Regions from separate parts of the Mus musculus genome. Here all the other regions are reported to be linked to region 3. The links are microRNA targets in miRTarBase. Many come from high-throughput screens and were not tested one by one. Region 3 holds a microRNA gene; each other region holds the end of a gene's coding sequence.
What was found. The annotated mature microRNA mmu-miR-3085-3p reads UCUGGCUGCUAUGGCCCCCUC and lies in region 3 at 4,718-4,738, shown strand. An mRNA with a match to its seed (bases 2 to 7 or 8) in the 3' UTR can be bound and repressed. Matches are read on the target gene's strand: a 7mer-m8 pairs with bases 2 to 8, a 7mer-A1 pairs with bases 2 to 7 and ends in A, and an 8mer does both.

Region 1: miRTarBase lists Ddx51 as a target of mmu-miR-3085-3p. Seed matches in the 3' UTR shown: 7mer-A1 at 4,982-4,988, 7mer-m8 at 3,873-3,879 and 7mer-A1 at 3,601-3,607.
Region 2: the mRNA of Gad2 is a reported target of mmu-miR-3085-3p. Seed matches in the 3' UTR shown: 7mer-m8 at 749-755 and 7mer-A1 at 1,265-1,271.
Region 4: the mRNA of Nol10 is a reported target of mmu-miR-3085-3p. Seed matches in the 3' UTR shown: 8mer at 1,009-1,016 and 8mer at 1,249-1,256.

What each region holds. Positions count from the first base shown.
Region 1 is chr5:110,656,283-110,663,402 of GRCm38, reverse strand. Ddx51 (DEAD box helicase 51) reads right to left here. Exons shown (of 15, transcript NM_027156.3): 10 at 6,957-7,072; 11 at 6,762-6,878; 12 at 6,486-6,587; 13 at 6,252-6,315; 14 at 6,018-6,152; 15 at 2,907-5,822. The coding sequence ends at 5,796. Among named protein-coding and RNA genes, the nearest start is that of Mir7026, 6.3 kb to the left of the region's middle.
Region 2 is chr2:22,689,851-22,696,970 of GRCm38, forward strand. It overlaps Gad2 (glutamic acid decarboxylase 2), which reads left to right. Exons shown (of 16, transcript NM_008078.2): 16 at 323-4,027. The coding sequence ends at 496. Among named protein-coding and RNA genes, the nearest start is that of Mir3967, 39 kb to the left of the region's middle.
Region 3 is chr19:42,277,713-42,284,832 of GRCm38, reverse strand. It overlaps Mir3085 (microRNA 3085), which reads left to right and starts at 4,663; the gene lies at 4,663-4,751. It overlaps Crtac1 (cartilage acidic protein 1), which reads left to right. Exons shown (of 15, transcript NM_145123.5): 14 at 567-710; 15 at 1,153-1,798. The coding sequence ends at 1,271. Gm34347 (a long non-coding RNA gene) reads right to left here. Exons shown (of 3, transcript XR_386718.4): 1 at 4,910-7,120.
Region 4 is chr12:17,428,662-17,435,781 of GRCm38, forward strand. It overlaps Nol10 (nucleolar protein 10), which reads left to right. Exons shown (of 21, transcript NM_001008421.1): 21 at 454-1,434. The coding sequence ends at 573. Among named protein-coding and RNA genes, the nearest start is that of Gm36752, 4.3 kb to the right of the region's middle.

The DNA of each region.
Region 1 (7,120 bases), not on the chromosome of region 3:
CTCAAATATTTAAAACTAAATTTGTAATTTTTTTAAAGATACACCATGATCAAGATGGCTTCATCCCAGACATGCAAGGATTATTCAGCATGGGTCAGTCAATAAACTTAATACACCACACATAATCAGACTCAAGGACAAACCACATGATCATCTCATTGGATTCAGAAAGGGCCTGTGACAAAATCCAACATTTCTGTGTCCTGGAAGGGGAACATGTTTCAACATGATAAAGGCAAAATAAACCTAAGCTAAATAGAGAAATCCTCAAAACATTTCCACTAAAACGAAACAAGAATGTCTACTCTCCCTTCTCGTGTTGGGTATAAAACTTGGAATCTAAGTGGAGAGACAAGTGAAAGAGACACAACAAAAATAGGAAATGATGTCCAAGAATTATATGATTTTATACATAAATTATATATGGATTCAATTTTATACAGAAAATACAGACTACACACACACATCAGTAACACCATTAACTGATAAATAATTCTAATCAATAATTCAATCCTGAACAGTGAAAGAGCTGCTGAGGGTATCTCCACCCCCAATTTTAAAGTCACACTATGGAGCTATAGTAGTAAAACCAGCATGGCACTGGCATAAAAAGGCACATTACCCAATGCAGTAGAACTGAGGACCCAGGTAAGTCCACACACCCCACCACCATCTGAGTTTTGATAAAGGGAACAAAGATACCAGAGGAAAGACATCTTTAATAAATGATGCTGGTCAAACTGAAAAGCAGGATGTGGAGTAAACTGGAATCTTATCTCTCACCCTGCCAGACCTCAACTCCAAATGGATCAAAGGACCTCAGTGTAAGGCATGATACCCTGAATCTGATAGAGGTCGGGGGTGGGGCAGAATAAACTTAAAAGCACACAGAAGGACTTTCTGGACAGAACCCCAGTAGTGCAGGCAGTAAAACCATGGGACCTCATAAAACTTAAGGTTTCTGTACAACAAAGGGACAGTATCATTCATGTGAAGAAACAACTACAGAAGGAGAAAAGGTCTTTACCAGCTACACATCTGGTAGAGAATTAGTGTCTAGAAGACACAAAGAACTAAAAAAAACTCTCAAAACATGGACTGGGGAGCTAACAGCAGTTAGAACACACAGCCATTAGAGAGAACCTATGCTCACATACCACACACATAAGCATTAAAAGTCTTTTAAAAATCAAAACAAAACAAAAAACCCTAAACCTAAAAAACAAGCAAGGAAATAAGCCAATCTTTAAAATACAGCAAAGGCTGGGCAGTGGTGGCACACGCCTTTAATCCCAGCACTTGGGAGTCAGAGACAGGAGGACTTCTGAGTTCGAGGCCAGCCTGGTCTACAGAGTGAGTTCCAGGACAGCCAGGGCCACACAGAGAAACCCTGTCTCGAAAAACAAAAATACAGCAAGGAACTAAAACTTCTCAAGACATACAGTGGGCTGGAGAGATAGCTCAGCTGTTAAGAGCAGACAGAAGACTCAGACACATAAGTAAGCTGGGCTGGGCAGGACATGATGGCTCTAGCCCTTAATCCCAGCTCTTGGTGGGCAGAGGCAGGTAGATCTCTGTGAGGTCATGGTCTGCTGGGTCTACACAGAGGACTCCAGAACTGCCAATGAGAGAACCCTATATCCAAAAAAGAAAACAAGACAAAACCTACCTCAAAAATATTTTTTTTAATGAAATGTCTGAAAAACATGTTGACCACCCTGAGCCATCAGGGAAATGGGAAACAACTTTGAGACTTCAAATATCTTACACCACTCAGAATGGACAAGGTTTTTAAAAATAGACAGTAGAACCTGGCATGACTGTAGAGAAAGGGGATCATCCTTCACCAGTTTGAGTACAAATTGATACAACCACTGTAAGTCAGCATGGCAGTTCCTCAAAAAGTTGAGAATAAAGTTACCCCATGATGCAGCTACATCCTTGGGCATATACCCAAGCTTCTATTATCTACTTCTCCAGGGTGCTGCTTCTCCATGTTAATTGCTCTATTCACAATAACCGGGAAATGGAAACAGCCTAGAAGCCCATCAACTGATGAAAAAAATGCACCTTTACACAATGGAATTTTCAGCGGTTTTAAAACATCATTCGAGCCGGGCGTAGTGGCGCATGCCTTTAATTCCAGCACTCGGGAGGCAGAGGCAGGAGGATTTCTGAATTCGAGGCCAGCCTGGTCTACAAAGTGAGTTCCAGGACAGCCAGGGCTATACAGAGAAACCCTGTCTCGAGAAAAAAAAAAAAAAAAAAGCAAAACAACAACAACAACAAAACATCATTCAAGTGATTAGATATGGCTGGGGCTGAATACAGCTCAGCAGTTAAGAGCACTGACTGCTCTTCCAGAGGTCCTGAGTTCAACTCCCAGCAACCACATAGTGGCTCACAACCATCTGTAATGGCATCTGATGTGCTCTTCTGTGATTAAAGGCCTTTTAAAAGACCTTCTGTAGATATGTTTTATGTAGCCCTGATTGTCCTGTAACTCATTCTGTAGACCAGGTTGGCCTGAACTCAGAGATTCACCGTTCTCTGCCCCCAAGTGCTGGGATTAAAGGTGTGGGCCACCAAGCCAGGCACCAACCGTTTCCTTGAAAATTATAATTTTTTTCTTCAACATATCCATGTACAACTGGTGCCCTTTGGTGCCCTTAGAGGATATTAGAGCCTCTGGAACTGGAGTTGTAGACAGTTGTAAACCATGTGGGTTCTAGGAACCAAACCAAACCCTATTCAAGTAAATGCTCTTAACTGCTGAGCCTTCCCTAGTTGCTCAACCACTTTCTGATTAAATCTCAGGCTTACTCCATGAAATAGTAGGTGCTGTTAATGGAGCCAAGAATCTGTGGCTGTATAAGTCACAGGCTTGAGCACAGGGTAAAATGAGCACAGGGTAAAAAATGACTTTTAATGACACTGCTATCCCCATAGGTAGGTGTACTGCCAACTTTCATCAGAAAAGCTTTCAGATGACAGCTGCTCAACAAGTCCAGAGTGAGAGTGTGTGTGTGGAGTGTTGACCTCTAAGTGGAACATTTCACACCTCTCTGTCCAAGCTCAGGGATCTTTAAGGAAGAGGGTACAAAAAAATTTAAGAGCCAGAGGCAGTACATAACTTCAAGGGAAAATGCTTTCAAGACACAATAGAGCAGTAAGGCATATGAACTCACAGAGACTGTGATGGCATGCACAAGACCTGTATAAGCTGAGGAACTACTGTTATTACTGCTACTGAAAGAGGGACTCAGTTTTCTTTGGTAGTGTGACCCCTAGTAGGCTGACCACATTGCAGGGCAGGAACCACACTCCATAATACAAATCAATTCAATGGGTTTAAACAACAACAGAAAACCTTGGGGCTAGATGGGTGGGGAGGTGAGAGTAAGGATGGATATGGGAGAAAAGGGTGTGTGTGTGAATATGATCAAATTTCACTGTATGAAATGCTGAAAGCATTAGTAACACAATGTTGATTACTCAAAAGGAAGTCTGACCTTCAGACCAGACTTCTCATCAGCAAGATCTTTCAGTTTTGGTCTGTGAAAATCCTAGCTCTAATAACTCACATTAAAACCATCTGTATCTGGCTAGGAGTGAAGGTGGCACAGGCCTTTAATCTCAGCATTCAAGAGGCAGAGGCAGGAGAGTTCAAGGCTGCTGGTCTACAGAGCAAGTTCCAGAACAGCCAGGCTATGCAGAGAACCCTGCTCAGTAAACAAACATTTTTTTAAAAAAACCAGCTGTTTTCAAAAATCAACTGTGACTACCCTGTGAGAGATCAGTATTTACCCATAAAGGCTGTGATTTAAGGGACACAATGATGGGCTGGAGAGATGGCTCAACAGTTAAGAACACTGGCTGCTTTTCCAAAGGACCCAGGTTCAATTCCCAGCACCTAAATGGTAGATCATAATTGACTGTAACTCAGTCCCCCTCTTCTGGTTTCCATAATGGACTGCAAACACATGGTACACAAATAAACATGCAAACAAAATAAACATTAAAAAAAAAAAAGAATCAGAATGACACCGGCTACTTTGACTCTCTCAGTTTTGGGTACTACTCCCCAGTGAGCAACCTCCCACACAGCAAGAGGCTAGGGTCAGATGCAAATTCCACAGAGCTATGGTCCAGGGCAGAGAAAGCTGTAAGGTAACCACTACAGGCCTGGGAAACAAACAGGCCCTATAGTGTGATGAGTGAGTTACTCCAAATGTTTCACTGTCTTGTGTCCTCCTGTGGGGTAGCTTCAGTGGCTTCTACCTGGCAGGGTTAATGTTGACATGAGCCCACGTTTGTTTCGGTGCTTCTGTGGAAACTATTCCCCCAGTTTTAACCTCTTCTGCAAAATGCCTGATGCTGTTGTCAGTCTTGAACCTCCCACAATGGCTTTGCCTACTTTATTCCTACTATTAGGCTCTACCTAAGATTTTGTTAGAAAACAGGCATTTCCTTAAAACAAGCTTTGGAAAAACATTTCCTGGGCCCAACACACATGAACCAAACCTCATAACTGCAATCCTCATGCACTTTATATATCGGTTTGGTCTAATTACAAGTTATTAAGCTTGTTCTAACACTGTGAACACCCAGTCAGCTATCCTAGCATCTATCCCTTTTAGTATCACCAATTCAGATAGAAAGCCAGCACATGATCTTACTAACCTAATCTTGGCAGACAGTGTTTGGGAGATCTCTGGGTGTAGGGGAAGGGTCTGATCCTGTGAGAAAGAAAGTGATGCTAGCTTGGGTCTAGGGCAATGCATGTTCTGAAAGGTCACAGAAGAGGCAAAACCAAGGCAACTGGAACAAGGCACCAGTAAGGGAAGCCAGGGCTGTGGTAGCTTCAGATTTAAAAAGGACTTGGACAGGGACACAGAGATGGCTCAGTAATTAAAGCTCTTGTAGAGGATCCAGCTTACAACTGCCTGTAGTTCCAGTTCTAGGGGATCCAACAAACACTTCTGGCTTCCTTGGGCACTAGGCATATATGCTATACAGACATACATGCAGGTAAACACTCATATATGTGAAATTTAAAAGGGAGGGAGGCCTGGTTAAAGCTGTGGGAAGCTTCCCCTTATCCAAGTTCCAAGGGCCTGAAGATAGTACCCGTAGCCTGTGCCTAGGTGTTCTGGGTTAGAGGAGTAGTTAAGTGGCTGTGTTGGAGCTATCGGGAATTTGTATAGGTTCAAGTGATCCATTTATTTTTTTCTGAATACAAATGAAAATGTTTATCTTTTTTGATACACTGACTTTTTAAAAACAGGCCTTCTTAAAAGCACAGGTAAGCGCTAATTCTCCTTGACTATATATATTCAGGGAAGGACTCTCACATCATTTAAGAACTTAAATGGGTGGGAGGCTAATTATAAAGTACAATCTTGAAGACTAGTAGCCAAGGAAGTATCTTCAAGGCTGCTGCCAACCTGTTCTTGGGCTCCAGTGACTTGCCTGGGGCAGGCTCGCCATAGCTTCTCTGTAGACAGGAGACGCTAACGTATAAGCACTTTGATCACCACAGTCCAGTCACCATAGTGTTTGCTCACACTCCAGAAGGCATCCTTCAGCTTCACCTGAGCTTATTTCCCAAGACCAACTGGACACCAGCAGTCCAACCCGAGAGCCATTACTTTTCAGGACGAGGCCACCATCTAGGCTGCATCAACCAAGACGACCAGATGCCCACGGCACTGGGGAGAAGGGTTGTTTCCACTGGAACCCCAAGGAACTTATCTTCTGTTCGCACGATCTTCCCTCCAGGGCCCTGTTCTCATCTAGGCTGCCTTCAGTTTCTGCTCCTCCTGTGGAGGGAAAACGAGCTTTGCACCATTTCATCCCTACTGCTAGCTACAGCCCCCTAGCCCTACACCTGAGAGACAACAGACATCATGCTAAAGGAGGCACCTCCCATGGCATGAGGCTGCTTCCTGCTTGCCTCCCTCTCCTGTGTGTGATGGCATTTCGAGGGCAGAGCCTCCACTTGCAGAAGGCCTCACCTTGACAGTTTTCTCCAACTGAGACAAGGCTGTCTCATAACGAGCAACCAGCGGCTGCAGGAGCTTCCTGGGGATCTCATGGTGTGTCAGCTCAGGCACCCCAGCTTCTGACACCATCTGAAGGAACTTCCTTTCCTGGAAGGGAGGCGTTTCATGGGAAGGAGTCTGATCAGGCCGGCATCTGTAGCAGCTTGGCTCTGCCCATGACGTCTGCTAAGAACTAAACAATCTTACCTGCACTTTCAAGAGAAGTGTGAATGCCTGTCCAGTTTTCCCGGCTCGAGCTGTTCTCCCGACCCTGAAACCGAGCACGAGTGTTTTTGGACAGTGGCTCCTGGCCCAGAGACCTGACAGGACAGTGCCTCTCTTGGCCATACTGTACATGACCATCATGCAGGGTGATCCTACATAGGATGACCAAGAATCCGTAATGTGGCCTATCAATGGCCACTGCCAAGTACCCCTTACCTGTGCACATAGGTCCTCAGATATTGTGGGGCATCGTAGTTGATCACCAGCTCCACACCCTGCACATCAATGCCTCGAGCAGTAGCATCTGTGCTGATAAGGCTGATGAAACACAGGCAGTAGGGCTGAGGGCCAGGAACAAACATCCACCCCTGTGCCTACTCCGCCAGGGTTAGTTCCAAGTCCCTCTTGGAAATCAGCTGCTCGGAAACTAGGGGGTCCCAACGACAACCCAACTCTATAGAGTAGGTCCTATCTTGTTTCCCTGGTACTCACAGCTGGATCTTTCCTTGTTCAAACTGCTTCAAGATTTTCTTCCTTTGGCCAGGCCCATAGCGGGAGGAGAATTCAGCCACACTCACACCCCCAAAAGCTTGTGCTAATAGGTACAGCCTGGGCAGAGAAGAAATAGAAGCCAGGTGTTACGAGAGTCTAGTGTACATTGGCTCCACCCACCTTAGTTCACCTTACCTGTGGGAGTTTTCTCGGGAGTTGGTGAAGCAAAGAGCCCTTGAGCAGCTCATCCTGAGGACCAGGTGTAAGACAATGAGTGGCTTCGAGCTGAGTCTACACGGCACATAGTGATGCTGTGGGAGATGGACAGCAGGCGCTAGCCAGGAGCCCTGGACCTAGGC
Region 2 (7,120 bases), not on the chromosome of region 3:
GACTTTGCATTTTTAGGGTGAAACTCTCTTCAGTGTAGTACTGTTAAACCATTTAACCCCAGGAAAAGATTCTTTTCATTTCCTGCAAGATGACGAGTCTCTTATTATATTTAGGGTTTTTAATATTCTGAGCTATTTTTATTTGCTGATCTCATGAAAACTTGAAGCAGTTCCTTCAAGAGAAAATTGTGGTCCTGTTTAGTTAAAAACTAAAAACACCACTTGCTATGGGATGCACTGCATAACATACAAACATTGATTGCATAACTAACATAAAGGAGATAGAGAGAAAGTCGTTGCACTGACGTGTTCTCTTCCACAGGTGGCGCCAGTGATTAAAGCCAGAATGATGGAGTATGGGACCACAATGGTCAGCTACCAACCCTTAGGGGACAAGGTCAACTTCTTCCGCATGGTCATCTCAAACCCTGCAGCAACTCACCAAGACATTGACTTCCTTATTGAAGAAATCGAACGCCTCGGACAAGATTTGTAATCACCTCACTCATCAAACTGTTTCAGTTCTCTAGGTAGACAGCTAAGTTGTCACAAACTGTGTAAATGTATTTGTAGTTTGTTCCAGAATAATTCTATTTCTATATCGTGGTGTCACAGTAGAGTACAGTTTAAAAAAATCAAAACCAGTGGGGTGGTGGTGGCGCATGCCTTTAATCCCAGCACTTGGGAGGCAGAGGCAGGCAGATTTCTAAGTTCAAGGCCAGCCTGGTCTACAAAGTGAGTTCCAGGACAGCCAGGGCTACACAGAGAAACCCTGTCTCGAAAAAAACCAAAAAACAAAGAAATCAAAACCAACAGGAAACATCACTCCTTTTTAAAATCCTTTCTTAAGTTTAGAATACCTCTCTAATAATTAGTGACAAAAGGCTGTGTTCTAATCAGTAAGAGAAAGTATAAAATTGTTATAAATACTTCCCTTTTAATATAGTATGTTAATCCAACCTTATTTTCACTTCAGAGCAGTAGTAATAAATAGTGCCAAATCACCCTTGAATCATAAAAGGTTCTCTGGGGTACAGTGAAAAGGACAAAGTAAATATAAAATGTATGTGGACAAGAAAAACTCTTGCCTTTTTCATAGTATTAGGAAAAGAATTTCTAATTTACCTAGAGCAACATTTCAAATGTATTTAAATACATATAATTTTACAAAAGAAAAATATATATTAAAAGAAATCCTATTTTGTAACATATAGATTTTATTTTATATGGGTTATACAGACTGCAGAGGCAGATATGAAACATAAGCCAGAGTTATTTCTTTACTTTTTTCTATCTTTCTTCTCATGGAGGCACAATAAAACACTTTAGCAAGATAGTTTTAACATAGAACCCACAAAATTCTTTTAAAATGTAATAACTTACTTTAGAATACATTGTGGCTTATCATATCCCTAAAGCTAGTATTTCAAAGCAAACACACACAAAAATGAAACTTCTAAAAACAATTGAACAGATCAACAATTAAGATTCTCTTCCTGTTTAGATGTTGCACTAGTTGACCTCGCAGACCCTGTCTAGAAGCCAGGCAAGCCCAGCTTGGACCCAGATCCAGGCAAGCTCGTCCACTCTGCTTCCCGGCGGCCTGCTTTCAACCAAAGGTTGATATTAGTTCTTGAAGTGTCTTTTCAAACCATATTCTTTTATTAGATCATCTGGATTAATTAGGAAAAAGGGTGAAAATAAAACCAAATCAGCCCTAGCAAAGAGGGGTACAGCACACTCCTTAAGTGTGATAAGCACAGAATATTAAACCCAGTCATGGGAGTCGAGACCTCTGTATGACAAGAATGGCTTCCTCCCAGATGCCATTTTGCTACTGTCTGGGGAAAGGGTCGTTTGCATCCCAGATGCTCTCTTCTTCAAATTCCTTCTCCATCCCACACTTTAAAGTCTCTCCTGCTAGACTCCCTGCCCCCAGACCCCTAGTAATGAATTACTATCCCATGTGGCTCTTTTCCTTTCCTGAAATGAGTTCCTCATGCAAGCAATTTCAAGGTAGCCTAAGAACTTCTTTTATCTGCCTCCCATCAAGACCCACAGTGACTAGAATGTGCAGAGATCGCTAAAATTCAAATCAAGAGTTTGAAAATACGTTTCTTTCCCTGTAAACTGGATGGAGAATGATCAACAGCTCCCATGATAACTTTAAGTCACAGATGAACAGATCTAAGTGCTGGTAGAACTATGGACTTTTACATGCAAAAGGCAAGTACCAGTCTGGAAGCATTCTCCCACTCCATATGGATGGGCATTTTGGTACTCAGAAAGATACAGGAACAGAAGAAAGAAGGCCCTGTCCCTAACTACCACAAATCTTTACAACTTAGCCCAGACCTTATTTGACTAGACATACTGATCCTCAGTATGACTGTAGCTTTGGGCCCTTGCTGTCTAGACAGCCAAAAAGAAAACAACCTGTACACCAGAGTGTCATGAAGTAGGTCAGCACTCCCTAATGGACAGGCATAACTTTCCTTTCTAGAACCTGGCTGCTGAGAGTAAATATGCAGCTGCCCATCCATCTTGTGCCTCAGGCCCACAGATCTCACTTCCCGGGCAGAGACTCACTTATCAAACCGAGTGTCCCGCTTAGAGAAGGCAGAAGGGCCTACTGTCTGATAGATGGAAAGCTTAGCCCTTGGGGGACAGACTTAGTAGCTCAAGCTGGCTTCTAGTTTGATGAGATGACAGAATTTAAAAAGTTGTGTCCATGCACTTTTTGCTAGTGAATTGGATCTCCAATCCCCTTCTTCTCCAGATTCTTCCTCAAAATTTCTAGGAGCCTTGCTCGGGCATGCAAATCTTCTCATCCTGTATCCTAGAAAAGGAGGTACATGCATGCCCAGTACTTTAATAGATCCTCTACAGCAGCTCTGCCATCCACTCAGGAGAGTGCTAAGGAAAATGGGATGAAAGAGTAATAATGGAGTAATAATGGAGGGAGACTATATTGAACGTTGGTCCAAATCCCCAGTGCCAATGGTCTCTATCTGTGATTTTTTTTTCTTTTTAAACATTGGTTTCAGTTTTAATCAGAATTGATATGCTAATTTTTATTTATATAGCAATATTTCATTTATTATTTAAAATACTTGAAAAAAGTGCAGTATGTGTTTATCTAAGACTTCTAAGTGGTATAGACTTCATGTTCTGTCACAGGATTTGAAGAAAGAAAATCGTGTGTGTGTGTGTGTGTGTGTGTGTGTGTGTGTGTGTGTGTGTGAGTGTTGCCGTTAGTACATTGTTAGTACTGTCTTGTCACCTCAGATTGAGGTTGTGCACTTTATATTGAATTGTGTGGTGTTGCAAAACAACATGTGTTGCTGTAAAAACTTGCACAATGTATTACCAGTGTGTCTTCTTCTATGTGGTAGTTGTATTGAACTTTGAACTTTGAAATTATGAGAACTACATTTGCATCCATTCCTGTCCTTGCCTCTCTTCTACCCTCACCCTTTCACCCAGTCCCAAGCTGTGTGCCCTCTCCATTGGCTCTTAGAGAAAACATAACCTCAACTAAGTCCCACCCTAAGAAATCTCTTTGACAACTGTGTGATGGCACACAAAATGCTTCATCTCTGAGGCCAGAGAAACCAATTATGGAGCGTCACAGGCTGCTGACAGTGCAGGTATTGACTCTACAGGGTCTTGGAGAAGGTGCTGCTCCTCAGAACATGGACAAAGGATGCACAGGTGTAAATATAGTAACAGGACAAAGAAGCAAAAACATCAAACCAGGTATCATCTTGCACGTGCTTTTCTGTTTTCAAGTGCTAAATGCAAACACTGTGTATTAATTAGTTGTGTATGCAAAGATCTTGTTGCCAAATGGTGTTTCTGAATAATGTCAACATTTCCCCAGCACCACTACATTAACTAAAGACAGAAAAAATAAAATAAAAACAAATGTGGCAACCTATGCTACCAAATATAAACTTGTGTATGATCAAAGTATTTTACCTGTGTTTTCTCTCTAAACCCAAATAAATGTGTAAATGTAGACATATCAGGCTACGGGTGCTCACTTTACACTCTGTCATGTGGTGGAGGTCATTTTTAATATTTAATGACTTTCTTGTCTTCTGGTCTTACTTCTGCTATCACCCCCTTTCTTCATCAAATAGAAATGGTCAATCAAAAATATTTTATTATGACATTTTCACCTAAGTATAAAAACGAGAAAAACAAAATACCAAAGTCCCATGTGGCCTTCAACCTTTACTCTTGCAATCTTATTTAATTTATTCCTCTACACTACTTTTCCCCTGGTACCAAATTATGTTTTTGTGAATGTGTGAAAAATAAGGACTCTCAGATAGGAAGGACTCCAGATTCTGCCATTACTCTCTGTGCTCAGGAAGAAATTCTCACTCTTTTTGATATGAAGGAAAAGTGTCTCGGGAGTAATAAGAATGTAGGTTCTGCAGCTGGATTACCTAGAGTCAAGTTATGTATGACACATCACTGGCTCTCTCTGATACCCCAAGAATAATCAACAAGCCTCCTTGACTGTGTTCCCCAGTTTGACAACAGCAAGTTTCTTCCTACAGTTTTGGTGTTGATTAAATTGAATGTATGTATGATACTGAGCGTGGCTCTTGGAATTTGTGCTGATTAATTTTCATCATTAGCTTGATGAATTTATCTTGAGGTACACCTTCTGAGGGTATTTTCATAGCTGTTTAACTAAAGAGGGAAGGCCCACTCTCAATATGCGTGATATCATGCCATGGGCAGGAGCCCTGGACTGAACAAAAACCATAAGAGGAAAGAGGGAGCCTCTCTCTACCTCCTGACTGCAGATGCAATGTAGCCAGGTGCCTCTCATGCCCACTGCTGTGCTTTGCCTGAAGGTAGGACTGTATCCCTTTAAACCATTGGCCAAACAAATCCTTCCTTCTTTGAATCACATTTGCTGTGCACTTTGTCACAACCATGAGGAAAGTAGCTAACTCAGCAGTCACTAAGTAGCAGTCAACAAGTCTTGATTTGTTTCATATTTTATTATGGATTCTGTAAGTCACCTCTTGTCATGTCCTTAAACACTCAATCTCCACTGAGCTTTTCCACTGTTGACTCTCCATTAGTGATGGTCAATGATTACCCACCTAACAAGTTTAGTTCAGAAATAATATTTAACATTGTCTTCTACTCTCCCATGTAGATTGTCTAGCCACCCTATTTATCCATCTCCATCTACAGCACAGAAAACCCTAGCAAAATTCCTCCATAACCTCCTGTGGTATCTACAGTGAGAAGTCACTTCCTCCCTATTTTGTGCATCTTTCACAGAGGCTTAGTGTAATCTTGACTAAGTCCACTAATGTCCTTGAACTTCCTTAGGTGAAAACTAAGGGAATGGGTCCTAGGAAGAAGGTGGTTGTGATGTGGTTCAAATTTAGGCTTCTATCCACTCAACTTAGGCAGATAAGAGATCCAGACCTTCTACTCCCAATACACATTTCTTCTGTCCTGTGCCCACTTGAGTATTCCCTCAAATGCCTGTCAGGCTAAAGGCCTCACAGGCTACCTCTGCCATTTGGGTATCTGTGGAATCACTTATTCATCCTTTAGATATCCCTTTCCTCCCCTTAATGCTGGAACCTAGCTCCACTACCTGATGGCCTGCACTGAGCCCCCAAGTACACAAGCTCCTCAGTCCACAAATGACACTCACTTCTTCCTTATTCTGGGATCCTACTGCAGGCCAAATGAGACCCTGCCCACCACCTTGCTTGCTCTCAACTCTCCCTTCCTCTGAGAATATAGTACCACCGGTAATGGGTATTATAAGGCCCTGTGCTGAGTACCCAAACCCCACTGTAGCACTCTACCTCTGTTCTCTGGCACTCTAGCCTGTTTCTTAGCAACTGCCAGGAGGACCTCCTTGTTCTCTGGGGTGTTTGTTGGTGAGGCCAGAAACTACATCTTTCTGTAGCTGAGCTACAAATCGCTCTGCTGAACCCTTCACAAATCAGTTCTGACTGATCCTAAGACTGAACTTCAGGCATTTGCTGATACAAAACTTGTCAAACTAGCATAACAGTAAACAGAGAAGCATATGCCTATTTACAAAGGTGGGGCAGACCATCCCAAAAGACATGACCAAAGCCCTAATTCCATACACCTACTCAGGCCCTTTCATAAAAATGCAAACATGAAAAACAAAGACAATATATCTCCTCCAGGAAATCTTTAATTCCATAGGAATGGCTCTCATTGACAACAACTAAAATGACACTTAAGACAATGAATTCAAAAGAACATATGTTCAAGACTCAAAGAGAACATGAACAAAGACCAGACTGAAGATTAAGAACACATACAAAATAAGAATGACAATTCAGGGTATGAAAATGAAATTCAATAAAGAGATTGAAATATTAAAGAAAACCCAAACGAAAATAAACCCTGACACAAAAAGCTCAGTGAAAAACTCCACCAGTAGACACAATGACATGGAAGATGAACTATCAGGATCAAAATTCAAAGAGGATGAATTGTAACATTCAGTCTAACAAGACAAAAAAAATCAAGCTCACACAAAAAGAACATGTAGGATCTTTGAAACACTATGAAAAAAAAAGCCAAACCTACAAATATTATGGATATAGAAGATGAAATCCAAATTAAAGGCACAGAAAATACTTTAACTAAAACCATAGAGAATTCCCCAGATCTAAGGAAAGAGATGCCCATCTAAATACAAAAGACCCACTGGATACCAAAGATCAAACGAGAAATTCCCCATGCTGTATAATACTCAGAACATTAAAGAAACAAAACAAAGAAATATTGAAAATTGCAAGAAATAAAGAAAAAGTTGCATATAAGGAAGACCAAATTAGAGTAACATTTGAGTTCTCAATGGAAACTTTAAAAGCCAAAAAGACTAAAGTGGTGTATTTCCAGTTATGAAGGACTATGGATGCCAAGCAAGATCATGGTATCCAGCAAAACCATCTGTTATAATTGAAATAGAAAAACATTCCAGGACAAAAGCAGTCTAAAGGAAAACATAAAGAGCTAAAGAACAAAACAAAACAAAAATATGAACATCAAGAAAACAAGCAACACAAAAACCTTGGCTATAGGTCTG
Region 3 (7,120 bases):
AAAGCAAACAGATGAGATGGTGGGGGCAGAGTGGATAGGACCCCTGCTGTGCGATTGCACCCTGGGGTGAGGTAAGGGGAGACCCAGAGATGACTCTGATTTCGCTGCGTGGCTGAGTAGTTGGTGGCAGCACTGATGAAACCATGGAAGATGGAAACAGGACAGAAGAGGCTTAAGGGCTGAGGGAAATCAGAGTTCCATTTTGGAAATGATCAGTCTGAGGTGGGGATTAGGCATCGAGGTGGAACTGACATCTAGGTCAGTGGTGATTGGACTCAGGAGCTTGGAGCCCAGAGGAGAGGTTACGGCTGAAGGCAGGAAGTTTACATTCATCCACGTATAGTTTATCTAGAGCAAGTGTCGTGTACAGAAGAGACCCAGGACCAAGCCTGAGCTCTCCCAGTGTGCACAGGCCAGGATAGGAGGAGCTATCCTAGAGCACTGAAGTAGAGAGACAGGCCCAGCAAGGAGGGACATGCCCAGGGTCACAGCTCAGTGGGCAGACAGATCCCAAGCTAGGGCACACTGCCTACACGTCCCTGGCGAGTGGCTCCCTTGCTTTGCAGACACCAATGAATGCATCCAGTTCCCATTTGTGTGCCCTCGAGACAAACCCGTATGTGTCAACACCTATGGAAGCTACAGGTGCCGGACCAATAAAAGATGCAATCGGGGCTATGAACCCAATGAAGACGGCACAGCCTGTGTGGGTAAGTGGAACCCTGGCCACATTCAGTAGCAGAAGACACGTGCCTTGTGCTGGGGAGTGGCAGGGAGGGACGGGTGGCTCTGAGTGGGCTCCAGGCCACAGCCATTAGCCCCTGCATCGCCCTGGGTTGATAGGTGCTCCTAGACTCACAATAGTTCTCCAGTTGAGACCATGCCAGGCTTGGAGAGGCCCTATCACTCCTGTCCCACTGGAAGGGCCCCGGGGTAACGTGTCCTGGTCTTATCGTTATCCCACTACTCGTGGTCCTTGAAGCAAGTGTTTTCATAGCTGGGATGCAAATAGCTCCTCCAAGTCACCTTTGGCAGATAATTTCTGAATTAGTGTTTGTCTTATCCTTCCTCCCAAAATCCTTCCTCCCAACCAACCCTTTGTCTCTCCCCATTTTTTTTTACCTCCCTGCGCTTTTGTTTGTTTTTTTGCAGCTCAAGTGGCCTTTTTAGGTGGGTACTCATCGGCTGCCTTTAGACTCTCTGAGCCTCTCTCTCAGGCCTCGTATCTTTCTCTAGGCCTGGGACTTTGCCTTCAGTTATATGCACTTTAAATCCCATCAATAAAGGAAAAAAAAATCTAACAACCTTTGTGGAAAACTATATCTCTCCTGCTGCCTACCTCTCTCCACACCCCATAGATCCCGCCATGTGCTCCTTCGAACGGACAGCAGGGGTGGCCATCTTTGAAAAGGGAAGTTTGGGAGATACTGATGGGACCTTAGTTGTTGGTGAAGCCTTTCTTTGCATGTTTTCTGAGAAAACAGAAAAAGGAAAACTATCTCCTCTACCCCACCCCTCCTTCCGTGAGAAGAACCAAGAGAGTCCAGTCATTTCTGTATCTTCGTGAGCTTCTTCTTGTTTTGCCCTTGACAAAGATGGCTCCTGGGTGGTTGCTGGCTCGGTTGATTCAGTAATGTATCCTGTGCCTGCTGATCCGGCCTGTGCTGCTGCTGCTGCTTTGTACAACCTGATTTCCTATGATTACGGAAGCCTTATTGGATTGGTGGTGGCGACGGAAAGGGAAAGGGTGGCCCTTTGGGACTGTTGATAAAAAAAAAATGCTTAAGTTTGAACTTGCTAAGTCTTCCAGCCTCTTTTCTGGAGAAATGATGCCAGTAGACTCTGCTGGATATTAGCCATGGGGGAGGGGGTGTCTGAGCAAGTACATGCTGGTTGGAGTGTTGAATTAGCTGTGACCCTTCCACCAGGGGGTACAAGGAAACAAGTCATGGCGTAAGGGAAGTGCCGTCCTCGGGCCCCAGCCGTGCGGCTGGGTGAAGGAAATACTCGGAGGACCAGACAAGGCACGTGGAGTGGGTGAGGGGCAGGCACGGAGGCAGTGCTGTATCAGTGCAGTATCCTTCCAGGAATTAACGTCTCCGTTCTGGAACCCCATTGCCTTTCCGTAAATGACAAGAGAGTTGGGTCAGTACATCCATACACCCCCTGTTCTCCCCAACTCCCCGCTGCGTGACTGGACATAGGTATGGTGAGTCTCCAGCAGTGCTGGTTTCTAGAAAGAACTTAGCAACTCAGCCTCTGCAATATGCTTGGGAGCCTGGGAGTGCCCGTAGCCAGAGTACTCTTTGGGGATGATGTAACACCACAGAATATGCTCATGACCAGCTCTGCTAGTGAAGGCCCATTATAAATCACAGATATATTCTTCATGGGGGAAAAAAGTCGCTTGAAGATATAATAAAATCATGCTTAAGAATGCAGCAAGCCTTTTAAAAACATATTTAACAAAAAACTACCCTTTCCTGATACCATAATAATATTCCCAATAAATCACCAAATATGAATTCCTTGTAGCTAGCGCTGTGTTTACACTCAGAACCAGAGCCTAAATGAAAAGTTTTAAAATGAAAACAGCTACAATTTCCCTGGGAAGCACATAACAACTTAAAAATCGTTCCAATTCCACCAGCACCGTCCCTACCCATCGACAGGGAATTAAAGATCTGCAAGGGCCCCAGACATGAGACTCAGAGAGATGAAGTGGTGGAGGTCACCCTGCCCAAGGTCACAGAGCCAGCTGGCCCCCCACACCAGGCATGCAGCTCTTCCTGCCATCATGTTAAGGGTGAGCGGCTGTACACTTGCTGCTCAGACCTTTCCCCGTTCACCCCGGAAGCCCTTGCCTTTTCAGACCTGAACAAGTGGATCTGAGATAGTAAGACAAGGAAGACCCAGAGCCCACGGGGACTGGTCGCAAATGCAGCGCAGAGCAGTAGGAAATGACAAGATAGCGAGCTCCATTGACTGGCCACACATGTCAGCATGAGAAATGGGAGTAGGAAAAAATAAAAATAAAAACCAGCGAGACAGCCTGCCAAGGACACCAAGTGTGACGGCCAACTCCAGAGGATGCCTGATCCCTCCCCCCCCCCCACCCCCGGTTGAGTTTCAGGCCACGGGGTCTGGCAGTGCCATTTCATCCTATCTGGTGGGAATGTCAGGGGAGTCAAAGAAAGAAGTTCAAGGCTCCCTAACTGCTGAGAGCAAACTCAGGGTAAGAAGGCTTTCCGTGGCGTTCATTCATTCAACAGCTATTGGCTGAGCCCCTGTTCTGCAACAGGGCCTGGGTAGGGCTCTAGGTTTGTAACAGTGAGTAAAGATAACATGTTTGATACCCCACACGCACACCACCTTCCCTCCAGCTGGATGGAAAAAGCCAAGTATAGTGTGGGAGGGGACTATAAGGGGCTTTCTTAAAAGTCTAGCTAGGTTCTCAGGTTACTGCGCCTGAGAAGCAAACACTATGCATTCATTTATCCGTGTGTCCATTCAGCAAGTGTTGATTAAGGACCTCGTGGGTTTCTCATGAAGAAGGTAACCAGCTCCCCTCAGTGAGAAGGTTAAGTCTCCTACACCCAAGAAGCTTATATTGGAGGAAAAAAATACCAGGTTAAACTTTATGGAAGATGGGCAGACTCTGAACCAACCCAACATCACCTGCCCGCCACTCACCAGGCATCCAGATATTGGAGCTGGGTGCCCCTGGCTCCAGACCTTCATTTCACTTCCTGAGCGTTATCAGCCACGGGTGAGTGGGTGCAAGCTTCAGCAAGGCTTAGGAGGCCACTGTCCCCATCCCCTTAACTCCTCCACTTCCTCATCCTGAGGCTCATGGCCTCTGAGCCCTCGTTGTCCACTTTGGAGCACACACACCCATCTTTCTTCTGTCCCATAGACCCACTTAGGTCCCTGACATCTTTTTTTTAGGTTATGCTCCAAGTTGTAAAAAGTAAAAAAAAAAAAAAAAAATGGAAAAGCCACCTTCAGGGCAGGTGAATAACACATGATCAACTCTAGCCAAGGCAGAAGTGGGATCCTTCCCATCCTTCGTTCCATTTTTCAAGAATACCCCCTCAAAACGATCTTTAACAATTTTAATAGTAATAATAACTACAACAATAATATCGCTTTTACTCTGTCTGATGCAGTCTCCTCCAGGAATGTTCCCCCTCAGAATGACAATAATGGCTTTCAGTGAGTGAGCTCAGCGTGTCTAGGTTGGACATAAACTCTTTACAAGAACCAACTCGCTTAATCCCTGCAGCAATCCCTAGAGGAAGAGGCTATAATTATAGGGGTGGGTTAAGTGGTTCCTCGGGATCACACAGCTGGGATAAGCAAAGGTGGGGTGGCGTCCCAGACAGTCTGGCTGTCTCCCACTAGCATGCTTACCTGCCCTGCCGTGCCTACCCACTTCATTCAGGTAGCCAACTGGTTTGGGCAGAAGCCACAGTCTCTCATCCTTCTCCAAGTCAAGGGCTAAGTGGGAAGGGAGAAACAGAGTTCCCAGAGAGCTGAGAATTGAAGCAATCCTACCAGAGTCACACCAAAGCCTGCAGGAAGAGCAGGCCACACCCACATGGAGAGCGCCCTCACCAGGCCAGCCTGGTCACTTTCTCCAGGTCACCTCCATCACCAACAGTCCCAACTCTGGGAAGGTGCCATTCCGAGGGCCAAGAGTCTGAATATGAGTCACTCTGGCTGCTATGGCCCCCTCCCAGGGCTTGGGCATCACATCCCTACCAAGAAGGCTGGACCAAGCAAGAACTCCAACACAGCCTCTGTTAGAGGAACATGGAGACAGAGAACATTTCATCATTTCATCATCTCAGGGTTCCAGAGATTCCAGACTCCAACTTCAGGAGGACAGTCAAATCCCTCCCCTTACCTCTCTGCCCATGGTCACCGCTGTCTCATTCCTTTTGTAAGCTCAGTAGCCAAGCCACAGGGAGTCAGAAACCTGCCAAGGGCTGAGGTTGTGTTTCCTTGGCAACAGGAACATCCTGGAAGGAGGAAGAAGGAGGCAGGCAGCTAGGGCTAGTTAACAGGACAGATAATCCCACTGTCCTCTGCCCTCAGCAGCTCTGCCCTCTTACACAGCACTGTGGAACAGTGGTTCAGTCAGAGGGTAGACCATCAGAGGAGAAATGAGAAGCAAGAAGACACAAGAGCATCCTCGGGGAGAAGTTAACATTTACGGAATGCCCACTATATGCCAAAAACTGCATAGATGTCTGCATTAATCCTTACTCCATCCTGAAAGGCAAATGTTACTGGTCTACTCTATTACCAAGGAAACTGAGGCTTGGGAAGAACAAGCTACACAGGGTCAGAGTTCACTGAAGTGGCTGACGATGTAATTTAGACCCCAAACTGTCTACTCTGCAGCTTGGGTTCCTAAGCTGTGTGCTTTCAGTTTCCAGGTAATTTGCACCTGAGGGAGTTATGTAACCAACTGGTCACTGATAATCAAATACAGACCACTATGTGCTGCACATTATTCTAGTGGCTTTGGATATTTATCGGTGAACAACACTGGCAACATCTCTTCCATGTTGACATTTGGCAAGGCATGCTCGTATAAACATGACGGTAAAAGTCTTGTGTGTTAGAAAATCCTGAGTGGGGGAAGAGGGGAGACATTAAGGGAGTTTGTGAGCACCTGGGTAGAGGCAAACTGTTACTTTAGGTAGGGTGGGCCAGAGTGCTCAGCCCCTAGAGGAAAAAAAAAAGATATTTAAGATTTAAAGTATTTAAGATTTAAAGTAGGTAAAATATACTTGAATCTCAGTTTCTCGTCTCTAAAATGAGTATGAAGCTTACATTTATTAAACTTGAGTTTTAGCAGTAACGGATACCTCACAGTTATTGTATTAAACTTGCCACAGTGTCTGGCATGGAGTGCACCTCCTATAAATCAGAGATCTCATTATTAATAAATACCACAATTGATGATGGAGCCAGGTTCTATTTGATGTCAAAGCTCCCATGCTCCTCAACAGTTGTGCCTGGAACAACCAGAGGTGTGCACTGTCTGCCCTGGGATGCTGCAGGTAAGTGAGAAAGAGACAGCAGGACCACAAATAGCCATCAAGGGGCAGAGGCCAGCTCCCTGGCCCTGGCATATGCCAGGTTCAACATAGTGCTCACGGGGCATCATTGCCAAAGATATAAATAAAGTAAATAGAGCTGGGTAGGCATGAGGTCGGCTGGGCCGCACAGAGCAGAGGCTGCTGGAAGCCACGGCACTTTTCTAGACAGTCTCCATCAGCACTAACAGACTCCCCAAGCAGCTAGTGCCAAGGCACCTGAGAGGTCTTCTAGTTCTGCCGCATGCTTTGCAGACAGGGAGACTGAGAACCATAGATTCTGCGACCCCGTGGGTCCTCCTCGGGGTCACACTGCCCCTGGCTCTTTTGAAGACCTCAGGCCAGGGTACGACTCCCCACTTCCTTCCCCAGAAAGCTCCACTGTTTCAGAAGCATGCGACCACGGTTTTAAGACTAAGTGGGTGGAACTGATTCCTCCCACCAAGTGACAAAAAGAACCACACGCTTGATCCTGGAAGCACTCCAAGACAGAGGCACCCTCTCTAGGAGACCCCTGGGCAGCTGGGAGTAAGGAGGCAGGTCAGGAGCTAGCAAGGAGGGGAGCAAGGAGAATCTGCCACCATTCCTAGGGAGCTCTGCTCAGAGCCCATCCATGCCACCACACCAGTTTGTGAGGAAGAAGAAAATCCAACTGAGGCCTCTCATTATCATAAAGGTAGCTCCTCTCGCATGGCCAGTCCCAGAGCAGCAACAAAAACTCCTACCCTCCGAGTGGCTGGATGCCCCTCCAAGCTAAGGGCTGACTTCCTTCCCTCTGTGGAAGGAGAAACACACCCCAGCTCCCGACTGCTCCTGAATGGCAGGAGAACAGGTAGAAACCAGACAGAGGAAGGCAAACCAGATGTACCCATCTCTGCTGTTCCAGGAAGATGCAGAGAAGAGAAAGGGGGAAAATTTGGGGTTGGCTCTGGGACACTGTCATTAGAATAGTCACAGTAGCTCAGTCCAAACAAAAGGTTTCCCATGCACCAAATGCCACAGCACTTCTT
Region 4 (7,120 bases), not on the chromosome of region 3:
CTTTGGAGCCAGCCCTAATGAGTTATCTAATCAGGTGTAGGTCATAATGCACTTTAATATGTGTGTGATAAAAAACACGTTTGATATGCATTTGATAAAATGCAACATTTTTTGTTTGTCTTTAAGTCTGTGAATGAATTCAGAGTTTCAGTGTGCAAGCAGAAGTAGGCATGAGTCCTCTTAGAGCATCCCGGTGTGCGGACACTTCCCGGTGTGCGGACAGACACTTCCCGGTGTGTGGACAGACACTTCCCGGTGTGTGTGTTCTTTTTGCCCAGGGATTCAGAATTTCTCCTTTGACAGTGAAAATTGTTCTTTGTCCAACTCCTGCCGCCACCAGGACGTGATGCTGAGCTGCACAGTGTTGGTCGCAGGACTGTGTGTCTGGCAGCCTTTGCTCCTCCCTGAGGGTTATAGCAGACCCTTTCCTCTACTCACCTCACTTTCTTTTAGTCTGAACAGCAAAAGAAGCAACAGGAGGCTGAAAAACTGCATCGTCAGGAAAGGAAAAATCTGCGCAGGTCGGCCAGCCACCTGAGGTCCAGACCCAGAAGAGGCCGGCCCTTTCACTGACCAAAGAAATGTGCCCACGAGCAACTAGACGCTGTGCTTCTCCCCATGGATTCTCACAAGGGCATCACACCCAGGCTCCGTGTAGATGTGTGTGCATGGTGCTGGTGGTCTGACTGGCCCACTACCCACCTGGAGAAGTCCCTGGCCCTGGGTGCTTTTTCCAAGTGGCTGCCCCTTTCTCTCTCCCCCTCCCCCGCCCCCCTTAAATCTTGTCTTCTCCCCTGCTGATGATCAGGCATCATTTCAGATATTGGAAAGGCCTCCATGAAGTGAAAAGTTCACCCTCTACTGGAAACAGGACATTATCATGCTGTAAGAATGGCTTGGGTTAGCCCAGCCGTGGTGGCGCACGCCTTTGATCCCAGCACTTGGGAGGCAGAGGCAGGCGGATTTCTGAGTTCGAGGCCAGCCTGGTCTACAGAGTGAGTTCCAGGACAGCCAGAGCTACACAGAGAAAACCTGTCTGGAACCCCCCCCCCCCAAAAAAAAGAATGGTTTGGGGTTTTTTGTTTTGTTTTGTTTTGTTTTTTTGTCATTTGTTTATTTGAGACTTGAGTCAGGGTTTCTCCGTGTAGCTCTGGGTGTCCTGGAATTCAATCTGTGGCCTTGAACTCATAGAGATCCACTTGCCTCTGCCTCCTGAGTGCTGAAGTTAAAGGGATGCACCACCAGGCCCAGCCAGAGTGTCTGTCCCCACTGTCTTCTGCCCCTCAGGACTGAGTCACATGATGACTGCTGAGTGGCCCTGTTTATGTGCATGAGTATGTTGGCAGGCTGACTGGCTTGCTTATATTCCTTTGTATAGTTTTTAAGCTATTTTTATATCAAGGGTATAAATTAATAAATAATAAGTGAACGCTACTGGCTATTTGTTTAGCTTATCACAAAATTACGTAGTTATTTTCTGATGAAGTACTATTTGATACAGGCAGCGCCTATAAAAGGAGATGCTTTTCTTTGGACATTTTCTCTGAGGAAGACTCCTGCCTGTGGAAATTTAAAATTCACTTTAGCTTCCATACTTTGGAGTTTCTCATGTAAACAAATAGAATGGGAGCTCGTTAGGCTGTACCTATGGTGAGTCCACAAGGCAGGACACATTAGTTAGCAGTCAGTGTTGTTGGACCCTTGTCTCTTTAGCCTGTGATGTGTACTCAAGAACTTTCTGACTGTTGGTACATGAATCTGCACATGCGCATGCACGCACCCACGTACCCACGCGCACACACACTCCTACCTCTTTATTAACTATTAAGCAGATCCCTCCTGGGGCTGTGAGCCCCTGGTGCCCTCTCTTCCCTTTCTCAAAGTTTCCCATTTTAAAATTGTTGTGCATGCTGGTATCCCACTCTGTCATTTTTCTGTGTTTATATCAGTTGCTTTTGTACACCTATCACCAAAATAATCAATATGGACTTAAGGGATTCATCTTGGCTCTTAGTTTCAGAGGGTGTCAGGGTGTGCAGATGCTGTTCACATCACTACAGGCCAGGAAATGGAAACCCAGACAGGGCCTTAAAGGGCTTGTCTGAGCAACCTGTGGTTGACCTCTGCCAGCTAGCCTTCACCTCAAAGAACATCCCCACACATCCTAACTACTATCTGGGGACAGATGTTTAAGTTAGAGGCCTGTGGGAGACATTTCAGGCTCAAACCCTAACCTGTGATTGCTCGTTACCAGCACTAGGATGTGGCTTTGTCCAGTCCTGCCAGCAGCTGTCCTTCCCGGTGAGACTTAGGAGCTAGTGTGAGAAGTGTAGCACCAAAGCTGGGCACCAGGCCCTGGAGGACTGGGGTTCCTGAGTGATGTGTGCTCTTCTGCTCCAGATCCCTCTCAAAGCTTTAGTATCCCAATCCCAATGCCTAAATCTTCTGTTTCAAGTATTTTCATCAGTAACCTTTGAAGGAAGCAGACATGCTGGGAGGGGCAGGATTAACACAGGGCAGACAGCAGAAAATACAGGCCCAGGGGTGCGGGACTTAGAAGGGCTTCTGGGAAGAAGATTGAGTTCAGATCCTTTCCTCAGAATCCTCCCCTGGTTCTCTTCTCATCCAGTAACATCCTGAGTCCCTGAAGGACCCTGCCTGGCACAGACTCCTTTGTTTGCTGTCACCACACTGACCTTCCTCTTTCTAGAACATTCCGGGCATTCCCTCAGCTCCCCACGCTCCCCCAGGCCTCTCAAGTTACTTTCTCTCCTGTCTGGTCAATTCTGCCCCATTTACATTGTCACATCCCAGTGTCAGCATGTGTTTACAAATGGTACTCCATTTAATATGCTTTCAAAACGTCACCACGGGGACCACAGAGTCTTCTTGAGTGGAAGAAGAAAACCAAATACAGTAAATCATATCTGACCTATACATGAGTATCCATGCTCATATACTCATGCACACACATGTGCACACACACAAATAAGTATAGCATAAATTTAGAACCTTACTATGGAAAGTGTCGGGTACACACAAGAATGGATGGGGAACAGTCGAGTAGACCAGCATGCCCCAGCAGTGTGCAACGTGCTCACGGTGAGTTCTCAGCTAGCTTGTCCAGTGTCAGCTCCTGTTTCCAGAATGCCAACTCAATAAGGACTAGGGGGAATGTTTTAATCAGTATGTTTTGTTTGTAGCTGTGTATCTTAATCTCTCGAACAATGCCTACCACATCATGCAATGTTTATTTAAGCCGTTATGGGGTGCCCACCAGAGAAAACCACTCAGACGTAGTCCATAGCTGCCAATGGTGACTGCACTCAGGTCTTTGAGGCCCAGTACAGCACCAAGCTTTTAGCATAAGGGGTTTTTAAGGCAAAACCACATCCTGGTATCTCACTTGGCAGCTGCAGGGAAAGAGCTGTACAAGCAAGCAGTATAACAGAAGCCAAGGTAAATTAGCTGGAGCATCTTGACCTCTTAGAGTTGGTAATTATTTCCCACAGGATTCTCCATGGAGGAGAGCAAATTCTAGTTAAACCTAAAGTGGCCTCAGCAAGAAGACAAGCTAGAGGAACGCTGTGTTCTCCTGCCCTGTCACAAATGACTGAGTGGGATGGAATTGAACATTCAACTTTCTACTTTTTTTTTAATTAGGTATTTTCCTCATTTACATTTCCAATGCTATCCCAAAAGTCCCCCATACCCTCCCCCCACCCCCCTACCCACCCACTCCCACTTTTTGGCCCTGGCGTTCCCCTGTACTGGGGCATAGAAAGTTTGCAAGTCCAATGGGCCTCTCTTTCCAGTGATGGCCAACTAGGCCATCTTTTGATACATATGCAGCTAGAGACACGAGCTCTGGGGAACTGGTTCGTTCATAATGTTGTTCCACCTATAGGGTTGCAGATCTCTTTAGCTCCTTGGGTGCTTTCTCTAGCTCCTCCATTGGGGGCCCTGTGATCCGTCCAATAGCTGACTGTGAGCATCCACTTAGGTGTTTGCCAGGCACCAGCATAGCCTCACAAGAGACAGCTATATCAGGGTCCTAGCAGCACAATCTTGCTAGTGTATGCAATGGTGTCGGCTTTTGGAGGCTGATTATGGGATGGGTCCCCAGATATGGCAGTCTCTAGATGGTCCATCCTTTTGTCTCAGCTCCAAACTTTGTCTCTGTAACTCCTTCCATGGGTGTTTTGTTCCCAATTCTAAAAAGGGGCAAAGTGTCCACACTTTGGTCTTCGTTCTTCTTGAGTTTCATGTGTTTTGCAAATTGTAACTTATATCGTGGGTATCCTAAGTTTCTGGGCTAATATCCACTTATCAGTTCAACTTTCTACTTAATGTCAGACTTTAACCTTTATGCCTAAGAAGTGATTCCCACCTGAGCTTTCAGAGATGAGATGCAAAAAGATGAAATTGCAAAGGTTGACAGAGGGACAGGGAAAAGGAAGTTGAAAATATACGTTATAAATAAATAACCTTTAGGGGAAAGTTTAACATAAGGAAACAGAAATGGAACTTATGTGGTCAAGAGGGCATGAGAGAAGGGTCAGTGTGTGGGTGAGGGACTGGCTGGTGAGATGTCTCAATAGGTGAAGGTGCTTGCTAACAAGCCTGATGACCTGGGTTCAGGCTCTGAAATCCACATGGGAGAAAGAATTGACTCCCGTAAGATGTATTTGAGTGTGTGTGTGTGTGTGTGTGTCTGTCTGTGTGTGTGTGCTTCCACGTGTGCACACAACTCAAGTAAATGTTTTAGTAAAAACTTTTTGTAAAGAAGAAAACATGGCATTAGAGAAGTTGGTTCCTGATCTGTGTCTGTAAATGGATGGCGTGCCGCATACTTTGCAGTCAACTAAACACCACTAGGGTCATTTTCAGAGAGAACCTCAGTTGAGAAAGTGTCCAGCAGTGTCCAGTGAGTGGGCTTCCATAGAGGCTTGGCAGCCTGGAATGGGAGTTGCAGGAAGGTGGAGGCCTGCTGTGCTCCTGGGCTTCCTGACTAGTGAGATGCCCCAACACACACACATCAGATGGAAGAGGAAGTTCTCATCCTTTGATGATCCTTGCTCCCAGCCCAACCCAATAGGACTTCAAAGCTGACAGGTGGGAAGGAGTCCAGCTATGTACTTGAAGTAACCTTGAGTTTCTTTTAGATGTAGGCCAGAATGATGCATCCTAGACTTGGGAGTTGAGGGGGTTTCGAGTCCAGCTGGCCGGAACACCTCCCCAGTTGGATTTCCCCATCCGGCCTCCCTCAGTTCACTGCCCAGTTTCTGCTCACACACCTGGTTGACCCGGGGGCAGCTTTCTCTTCCTCTAACCCTTCTTGAGTTCTGCAAAATGGGTGGAATGTTGGAATCTCTCCTCCTCAGGGCCCCACTCTGCTCCTCTGTTGGAGCTCCACTGTGTCCCTCCAGTCTTGCCAAGCTTCCCTTGCCTGGTCTGTGGTTGCCTCTTAATGAAACTTTTCCTTCTGGACTTAGTGCTACACCCCCCTACACACACACACCCATCCCCCATTCCCTTTCACACTGCACTTAGGCTCTGAGGTCCTTCCCCAGCTCCTCTTCCTCCCCCTCCCCCTCCTCTGTATTATGGTCCTCTGGTCCCTCGTACTCAGAATAAAATTCATCACTGCCCCCCCTCCTTCCCTGCCCCGCCCCATGTTATCTTTATTTCCTCCTCAGGCCCAACAGCAAAGCCATGGTTTGTTGAGTTGATTCACTGACCGCTCCTTGCAAGTAACTAAACAGATGGATGCCCTGCTCTGGTGCAGTTTCTGTCTTCACCGGAAAGCAGAAGAGTCACAAGAAAACAAGCAATATAGACAGGCAGTGGTGTCAGCATCGGGAAGCAGAGGCAGGAGGATCCCTAAGTTCAAGGCCAGCCTGTTCTACAAAGTGAGTTCCAGGACAGCCAGGACTACACAGAGAAACCAAATGAAGCAAACAACAAAAAAAAAAGTTTAGGGCTGGTGAGGTGAGATAACTCAGGTGGTTAAGAACACTTGCTCTTGCGGGAGTCCCAGGTTCTACTCCCAGCACCCATGAAAGCAGGAGGAGGAGGTGAAGGAGGAGGAGGAGGAAGACATGACAGGCAATACAATGAGTAGTGTGGAATAAGGCTGAATGAAATCGGAATAGACCCCAGGGCATACAGCAGATGCCCCAGGAAGACCTGTAAAACAGTTCTGAAGCCATAGAGCCTTACCCAGGAATCCCAGAGCTCCAGCACAGACTCAAAGGGCAACTTTGCTGTGGTGCTCAGGGAGGACAGAGCCTTGGCCAGTGTGACTGGCACAGGACAGAGGACTTAGACTAGAACAGGAATGGCTTGATGTCAGCATTGTGGGCCCTAGGACATCAGAATGGCTGATGCTCCAGTCTTAGGTCATGTCACCCTCACAGGTGGGTGTGCCCTCTGCAGATCTTCCCATTTCTGTGGTCCCATGGCCACAACCCCTGCTCACCGTTTTTCCTCTGTACCACATCAGTGTTTGTACATAGATGGCAGAGTCAGGGATCCCCAGACCAGGCTGTGAGAAACTAATCCTTTAATGATGGAGGGCTTTCCAAAGCTAGCATGGAGTCTGTTAGAGAAGACAACAGAGGAAACAAGAGGAGACCTGGGTCTCGTCTAGACTTGCTCAAGGCTAAGTTGCCAGTTAGTGGCACAGCCACTTAAGACTGCTATTCCTTGGTGTGTGCATCTGTAAAGTGGGTTTAATAGTATCTGTCCCCTGAAGACTTCAGAGAGTGTTTGTGGAGCTTAATGAGTGAGGTCCATTAAAGCCCTCAAAAGAAAGGTGGAGCTAAATACAAAGCAGTATTGTAATTACCCTGCATGTTCTCTGAGCCAGGTCACATCTTGTTTTAAGAGGGTTACCATGACGATGGGTTTGCTTTAAAAACTTGAGTTTCAAAGGCATAGCTGTAAGTCTCCAGTAAGGAGTGAATTTCATTTCATTACTTTTTGTCATGGGGTGGGACAGAATCTCACAGCTATTTAGGGACTGTCATGGTGTGACAGCTACTGTTGCTGCTGAGTGGCAAAGACCTTGCTTGTTACCCGTCCTGAGCACCTGGCGAGTCTTAATGAAGGTTATTCC